Saccharomyces cerevisiae S288C: one gene and its partner. Each later gene encodes a partner of the first gene's protein in a complex. Each region holds a gene or a part of one and is shown on either strand. Other genes may lie near its edges.

Region 1 (3,966 bases):
AGAAACCAAATCAGAAAAGGAGATTATTTCAAGGTAGGCATCGAAATGGCAAGTAACCAGCACATAGGAGCTTCAAACCTAAATGAGAATGAGGCTATATTAACCAACCGCGTTGCTGAGCTGGAAAGGCGTATGTCGATGTTTGAGGGTATATTTCACGCGTTAAGTAACCGTCTCGATCTTCACTTTAAAAAATATGATGTAGTGGTAAACTCCCAACAGCAACAAATCAACGAACTGACCGCGTTTTTATCAACATTGCTGAATGACCAACAACGCCACGCTGAAATTCTCAGTGAAAAATTAAGCGGAACGTTGCATGGGGTGTCAGCTACGTCAATATCCTTAAGCCAAACTCTTGACCCACAAGGCTTCACTGATGGAACTACGGCACCAGGAGCTCCTAGGAATTATACTTCAGTGCCTATGAATAATGATCAAACTGCTCATCCGCAAAATGAAGGAGCTGTTAGTAATGAAACACTTTTTGAGGACATTTTGAATGGAAATTCACAAGAAAATGATAAGAGTCAACAACAAACTAACAGCTCAAATTCTATAAGCCAAGAAAATAATAGCACCAACCCTTCAGTGGACACTCGGTTCAACAAGCCGCAAAATTATAATTCCAATTTAGTCCCATCCTTGGAAGAGTATTCAGCAAATCCACCTAACAATGATGGTGGCCAAAGTCAAGGACTGTACATAAGCAGCAACTCTTCTCAATCACGGCAGTCTCCTAATCTCCAGAAAGTTTCTCCTAACCATGAAAATGCGGTTGAATCAAATGCACAAGAGAGCGTGCCGACATTTGAGGAGGAACAGTATGAGACTAAAACAGGATTGAAACGGAAACGAATAGTCTGCACAAGACCCTTCGAATTTATCAAGTCACCACACTCTGTGATGGAGGTTTGGAAGGAGTATACAGAAGGTGTTAACGGGCAGCCTTCTATAAGGAAAATGGAAGCTCTTTATCAAACGGCATGGAGGCGAGATCCAGCAGTAAATAAAAGATATTCGAGAAGAAAGGTTCTTTGGAAAGCCATTCAAACTGGCCTTAATCGTGGGTATTCATTAAACTATGTTGTTGAAATATTAGAAAACTCAAGATATGTTAATGATAAACAGAAGGTTAAACAACCTATTGGTTGGTTATGCCACAGTTCTCATATTCCAGAGACTTTGAAGTGACATTTGCTTCTTGTGTATTCACCTTTATCCCAAATTAGCCCTTGTAACACTTATGCTTTTCTTAATAAATTAATAATTGGACTTTCCTTTAAAGTGGGTTGTATCTGTAACAATAATCTCTAATAATATCCTATAAAACTCAGAAGTCAGCCAACAACAATTGTATACGTATACATATCTATATAATATGCCTTGTACTTTACGCTCTTGAATTTAGAATAGCTGAACACCTAACTGAATTTAAGTAAAGGATCCCAAGCGTGAGATATTTAGGTTTACTCAGTTTTCTTATCTTGCCTTTTGATTATCACGTTGAGTGTCGAAGAAACCTGTATTCATCCTCGGCTTCTTGTATATGATTCTAAAATAATGTGTGAAAAAAAAAATAAAATAAAAAAAAGAGGAAAATAATATAGAATAACTATTAAGTTTCATTAAAAAAAAACCATTTGAATATACGACCAAAAACGTTACGCTTTCATAAAGTGTGAATAAGCAAGGGAACTATACTTGAAATATGGGGGCAAAGAGTGTAACAGCCTCTTCTTCAAAGAAGATTAAAAACCGGCATAATGGGAAAGTGAAAAAGAGCAAGAAAATCAAGAAAGTACGGAAACCACAGAAGTCTATATCCTTGAACGACGAAAACGAAGTAGAGATTTTACCTAGTCGTAATGAGCAAGAGACAAATAAATTACCTAAAGATCACGTCACGGCGGATGGAATTCTTGTATTAGAACATAAATCTGATGATGATGAAGGATTCGATGTCTACGATGGACATTTCGATAACCCTACTGATATTCCCTCGACTACTGAAGAAAGTAAAACGCCTTCATTAGCAGTGCACGGGGATGAGAAGGATCTTGCTAACAATGATGATTTTATCTCTCTTTCTGCTAGTTCTGAGGATGAGCAAGCCGAACAGGAAGAGGAGAGGGAGAAACAAGAATTAGAAATTAAAAAAGAAAAGCAAAAGGAAATCCTTAATACTGATTATCCATGGATTTTAAATCATGATCACTCCAAACAGAAAGAAATCTCGGACTGGCTAACCTTTGAAATCAAGGATTTTGTTGCCTATATCTCACCAAGTCGTGAAGAAATTGAAATTCGTAATCAAACCATAAGTACAATAAGAGAGGCTGTCAAACAGTTATGGCCAGATGCTGATTTGCACGTGTTTGGATCATATTCTACCGATTTGTATTTGCCTGGTTCCGATATTGATTGCGTGGTAACGAGCGAACTTGGTGGTAAGGAAAGTAGGAATAACTTGTATTCGTTAGCAAGCCATTTAAAAAAAAAAAATTTGGCAACAGAGGTTGAAGTTGTCGCCAAAGCTCGCGTTCCAATCATCAAGTTTGTTGAGCCACATTCAGGGATCCACATAGATGTTTCATTTGAGAGAACAAATGGTATTGAAGCAGCAAAGCTTATTAGAGAGTGGTTGGACGATACCCCCGGCCTGAGAGAATTAGTCCTTATCGTAAAACAATTCCTACACGCAAGAAGACTAAATAATGTGCATACCGGTGGTCTTGGTGGGTTTAGTATTATATGTCTTGTCTTTTCCTTTTTGCATATGCACCCACGTATAATAACTAACGAAATAGATCCAAAGGACAACTTGGGTGTGCTCCTGATAGAGTTTTTTGAACTTTATGGGAAAAATTTTGGTTATGATGATGTTGCACTGGGATCATCGGATGGATATCCAGTATACTTTCCAAAATCGACATGGAGTGCTATTCAGCCTATTAAAAATCCATTTTCATTGGCCATTCAAGATCCAGGTGATGAATCAAATAACATCAGTCGAGGGTCCTTTAACATTCGAGATATTAAAAAGGCATTTGCTGGTGCTTTTGATCTGTTGACGAATAGATGTTTTGAATTACATTCAGCAACTTTTAAGGATCGATTGGGGAAAAGTATATTGGGAAACGTGATCAAATATCGTGGAAAGGCAAGAGATTTCAAGGATGAAAGAGGTCTAGTACTGAATAAGGCTATTATTGAAAATGAAAACTATCACAAGAAACGTAGCAGAATAATTCATGATGAAGATTTTGCCGAAGATACAGTTACCTCCACAGCCACCGCTACCACAACAGATGATGATTATGAAATAACGAACCCACCTGCTAAGAAGGCTAAAATAGAAGAAAAACCTGAAAGTGAACCGGCCAAGAGAAATAGTGGAGAGACATATATCACTGTCTCTAGCGAAGATGATGATGAAGATGGATATAATCCTTATACCCTTTAATATGTGCCTTTTTGTTTAAATGATGCACTGAACTGTACATCACTGTGTACCTGGATAGAATGTGTGTTTAAATATGCGTATTATGTATTAATAATTGAATTTAATTTTACTTCTGTTTTTCTTTTTATCGCTGTGAACTTTTTTGTCAAGAAGTCGCTCTTTGTTGGCTTTCTCTTTTATTTTATTCCATTTCTTTGAGGTCTCAGCAGTGGTATCATTAGGAAATTGGCACGTTTGCCGAATTTCTTGAACCAACTTCTCGAAGCATTTTAATTTGTTGGTTTCCCTTGACCTAGTTTCATCAGATTGAATTACTATAGAATCGCTGCCCTTAGCGTAGTATCGAAACCTGCCGCTACTTAAGATGTTTCTCACTTCCTGAGGAATCCAAGCACAGTTTGATAAACCAGAAAGTGTCAAAGTACATTTACTATTTACCTTATTAACGTTTTGGCCTCCTGGCCCGCTGGCTCTATCGTAACGTAAAATAAATTGATTTA
Region 2 (4,453 bases), on another chromosome or scaffold:
TCCCTAGCTGAACTACCCAAAGTATAAATGCCTGAACAATTAGTTTAGATCCGAGATTCCGCGCTTCCACCACTTAGTATGATTCATATTTTATATAATATATAAGATAAGTAACATTCCGTGAATTAATCTGATAAACTGTTTTGACAACTGGTTACTTCCCTAAGACTGTTTATATTAGGATTGTCAAGACACTCCGGTATTACTCGAGCCCGTAATACAACAGAACATATGAAATATCTGGTCTCTTGGCCCAGTTGGTTAAGGCACCGTGCTAATAACGCGGGGATCAGCGGTTCGATCCCGCTAGAGACCATATTTTTTTGTACAAATCTCTTCTACTACTGCTAAGACAGTAAGTAAGAAATACGAGACTCCAACAATGTACTTTTTTTTTGCTTTGTACTGCTCTATCGATACAAAAAATCCCTATAAAATAAACATATATATGTTTGCTGCAATGAGAATGGAAAAAAAATTAAAAAAACTCACATATAATCTCAATAACGGCCATTTCTTTGGCTTTTGTTAGAAGATGATCGGCCCCTCTTATTCTTAGGACCCTTGGGGAAGTCGTCCCTATTATAGCTGAACTGGCTCGAATAATCGTTCGTTCTGTTGTTTTGGCTACTTCTGGGGAAATCTAAGGGGTGTGTCTGAACTCTTTTATTTTTCGTCACTTTGTAGTTCTGTGCGCTAAATGGTGACTTCTTCTTCCTGTTATTACTGCTTTCATATCTATTATTGCTACTATTTTTGTTCCTTGTTGACTGCACTTTGCCCTTCCATTTCATTTTATCTCTATAAGTCCTTGAGCCAGGGAGGTCGTATGCATCGTCGTTATATTCATAGTCAAGCAGGTTGAATTCATGTTCGTTATCAAAGTGTTGCCTTTGTGAAGCTTCACGTTTATAGTCTTTCAATTGGTTAAAATAGTGTTGTTTAAATTTTGTGGCTAAGTTATCACCGCAAAATGCACTTCCATCAGTGTTCGGCACTCTCGATGACCTTCTTTCAGCACAGTCATCGCCAAAATGACCGGCATTCCCACAGTTATAACAGAAAACTGTTTGAAAATCGAAGTCACCTTGGTTAGCATCTTTTGTTTTTAATAAATAAGATCTCCAAATACTAGGACATCTTTCTCTTGAGTGTCTTTTGCTATTGCAAAGCGTGCAGAACACCTTCTTCCATTTATGAGGACACTGTGATTTATAATGGCCGTTTGCATTACAATTAGTGCAAATAATAGCCTTAGGGCAGTGTTGTGAGTAATGATCATCCATAAACCCGCAGTAAGTACATATCACATGGGGACAATTCCTTTTCAAATGACCTCTTTGCGAACAATTATTACACTTTGGCTCTGCCTCCATTATCGCACCGTTTGAGTCATAATCTGTTATTCCAAAATACCGTCCTTGGCCACGTAAAGTCCTCAGTTCCTCTGGGTTAGCATCTACATCCTCTATGGAAGGAGCCAATAATTTATTAAATGATGACGAGTCACTTCCTGTCGGTGTTGTATCCTTCACATACGGCAAAGTATCGATACTTTCTACCTCAGATAACAATGTCGACATAATATCTTAGCTCCGTGGTCCGCTTCCTTTGTATTCCTCATGTGAGAATGTTGGACCTTTCCCACTCATCGCATCGCTAATTTTTAGTAATTTTTCATTTTTTCATGGACCAAGAAATTGAAAAGCCTGTCAATGAGCTTTAACAGTAGCAAGAAACAAAGACAAAGGACAAGCGCCTATGGAAGTCACTTTAGAAATATTGAAGTCACATTTTCATATAATATATAAATGAATTTACAGATGTGCCATTGTATATGCTGACGCAAACGCTTTCTTTTTACTGTTTAAATGACTCTTACCTTGTGATATGTATAAATCATCATATACGGCTATCTTGCTAAAAAATTTTTTTCGAGGAATTTTCACTTGAAAAAAATACTTGCGATGGCAACAAAAGAAAGTTAGATAAATCGTGCATTAAATGATGTGTCATCTGAAAGATTACAGGTTAACGAAAAATTAACAGCTAACAGAGCAAGAAAATAAAACGGAGATGAGTGCTAGTGAAGCAGGTGTCACTGAGCAAGTCAAAAAGCTGTCTGTCAAGGATAGTAGTAATGATGCCGTAAAACCAAATAAGAAAGAAAACAAAAAATCCAAGCAACAGTCCTTGTACTTGGATCCTGAACCAACTTTCATCGAGGAAAGAATTGAAATGTTTGACAGATTACAAAAGGAATACAATGATAAAGTTGCTTCTATGCCACGTGTTCCATTGAAGATTGTCTTGAAGGATGGAGCCGTTAAGGAAGCCACTTCTTGGGAAACCACTCCGATGGATATTGCCAAAGGAATTTCTAAATCTTTAGCAGACAGGTTATGTATTTCTAAGGTTAATGGTCAATTATGGGACTTAGATAGACCATTTGAAGGCGAAGCCAACGAAGAAATCAAATTAGAACTGCTAGATTTCGAATCTGACGAAGGTAAGAAGGTCTTTTGGCATTCGTCTGCCCACGTCTTGGGTGAATCTTGTGAGTGCCACCTAGGTGCCCATATTTGTTTAGGTCCTCCAACTGATGATGGGTTCTTTTATGAAATGGCTGTTAGAGATAGTATGAAAGATATATCTGAATCTCCAGAAAGAACCGTCTCCCAAGCTGATTTCCCAGGATTGGAAGGCGTTGCCAAGAATGTTATCAAGCAAAAGCAAAAATTTGAAAGATTGGTCATGTCCAAAGAAGATCTTTTGAAAATGTTTCATTATTCGAAGTATAAGACTTACTTGGTACAGACAAAGGTTCCAGATGGAGGTGCTACTACCGTCTACCGTTGCGGTAAATTGATTGATCTATGTGTCGGCCCTCATATCCCACATACTGGGCGTATCAAAGCTTTCAAACTATTAAAGAACTCTTCTTGTTATTTCTTAGGTGATGCGACAAACGACTCTTTACAAAGAGTTTACGGTATCTCTTTTCCAGACAAAAAATTAATGGATGCTCATTTGAAGTTCTTGGCGGAAGCCTCTATGAGAGATCACAGAAAGATTGGTAAAGAACAAGAATTATTCTTATTCAATGAAATGTCCCCAGGTTCTTGCTTTTGGTTACCTCATGGTACTAGAATTTACAACACTTTGGTTGACTTGTTGAGAACCGAATACCGTAAGAGAGGTTACGAAGAAGTCATCACTCCAAACATGTACAACTCCAAATTGTGGGAAACCTCAGGTCACTGGGCCAATTACAAGGAAAACATGTTTACTTTCGAAGTAGAGAAGGAAACTTTCGGTCTAAAACCAATGAACTGTCCAGGTCATTGTTTGATGTTCAAGTCTAGAGAACGTTCTTATAGAGAATTGCCATGGAGAGTTGCAGACTTCGGTGTTATCCACAGAAATGAATTTTCTGGTGCCTTGTCTGGTTTGACTCGTGTCAGAAGATTCCAACAAGATGATGCTCATATCTTCTGTACCCATGACCAAATTGAGTCTGAAATTGAAAATATTTTCAACTTTTTGCAATACATTTACGGCGTTTTTGGATTTGAATTTAAGATGGAATTGTCCACTAGACCAGAAAAGTACGTTGGAAAGATCGAAACCTGGGATGCCGCTGAATCAAAATTAGAATCTGCCTTAAAGAAATGGGGTGGTAACTGGGAGATCAATGCTGGTGATGGTGCTTTCTACGGTCCAAAGATTGACATTATGATTTCTGACGCTTTAAGAAGATGGCATCAATGTGCCACCATCCAATTAGATTTCCAATTGCCAAACAGGTTCGAATTGGAATTTAAATCTAAAGATCAAGATAGCGAGAGTTACGAAAGACCGGTCATGATCCATCGTGCCATTTTAGGGTCTGTTGAAAGAATGACTGCCATTTTGACCGAGCATTTTGCTGGTAAATGGCCATTTTGGTTATCACCACGTCAAGTTTTGGTTGTGCCAGTTGGTGTCAAGTACCAAGGGTATGCTGAAGACGTCCGTAACAAATTGCACGATGCTGGCTTCTATGCCGATGTCGATTTGACCGGTAACACTCTGCAAAAGAAGGTCAGAAACGGGCAAATGCTAAAATATAACTTCATTTTTATTGTTGGTGAACAAGAAATGAATGAAAAATCTGTTAACATTAGAAACAGAGACGTTATGGAACAACAGGGTAAAAATGCTACTGTTTCTGTTGAAGAAGTTTTGAAACAGTTGCGTAACTTGAAAGATGAAAAGAGAGGTGACAACGTCTTAGCTTAATGAGATTTTATGTAGTTAAATTTTGACTTATTTAATTTATGTTTTGTAAAGAATAAAATGAGTATGATGAAGGAATCTTACCTCTATTAACTATTTCTTCTTTTTTTTTCCTTCGATAAGATGTGCGCGAATTCAATATGGAAGAAAGCAATTTGGTATGCAGATGGTGTTC

What was found. The genes of interacting proteins can lie anywhere in the genome.
Region 2: PAP2 (region 1) and AIR1 share a complex: the UniProt entries of both Saccharomyces cerevisiae proteins name them as parts of the TRAMP complex.

The regions. Positions count from the first base shown.
Region 1 is NC_001147.6:99,764-103,729, forward strand, and holds PAP2 (non-canonical poly(A) polymerase PAP2), read left to right. Parts: upstream 1-1,711; coding exon 1,712-3,466; downstream 3,467-3,966. Other genes in the region: MSN1 (Msn1p), read left to right, coding at 46-1,194; PTH4 (Pth4p), read right to left, coding at 3,554-3,966. UniProt on the Saccharomyces cerevisiae protein: Catalytic subunit of the TRAMP complex which has a poly(A) RNA polymerase activity and is involved in a post-transcriptional quality control mechanism limiting inappropriate expression of genetic information.
Region 2 is NC_001141.2:210,423-214,875, forward strand, and holds AIR1 (TRAMP complex RNA-binding subunit), read right to left. Parts: upstream 1,584-4,453; coding exon 501-1,583; downstream 1-500. Other genes in the region: threonine--tRNA ligase THS1, read left to right, coding at 2,077-4,281. UniProt on the Saccharomyces cerevisiae protein: Component of the TRAMP (TRF4) and TRAMP5 complexes which have a poly(A) RNA polymerase activity and are involved in a post-transcriptional quality control mechanism limiting inappropriate expression of genetic information.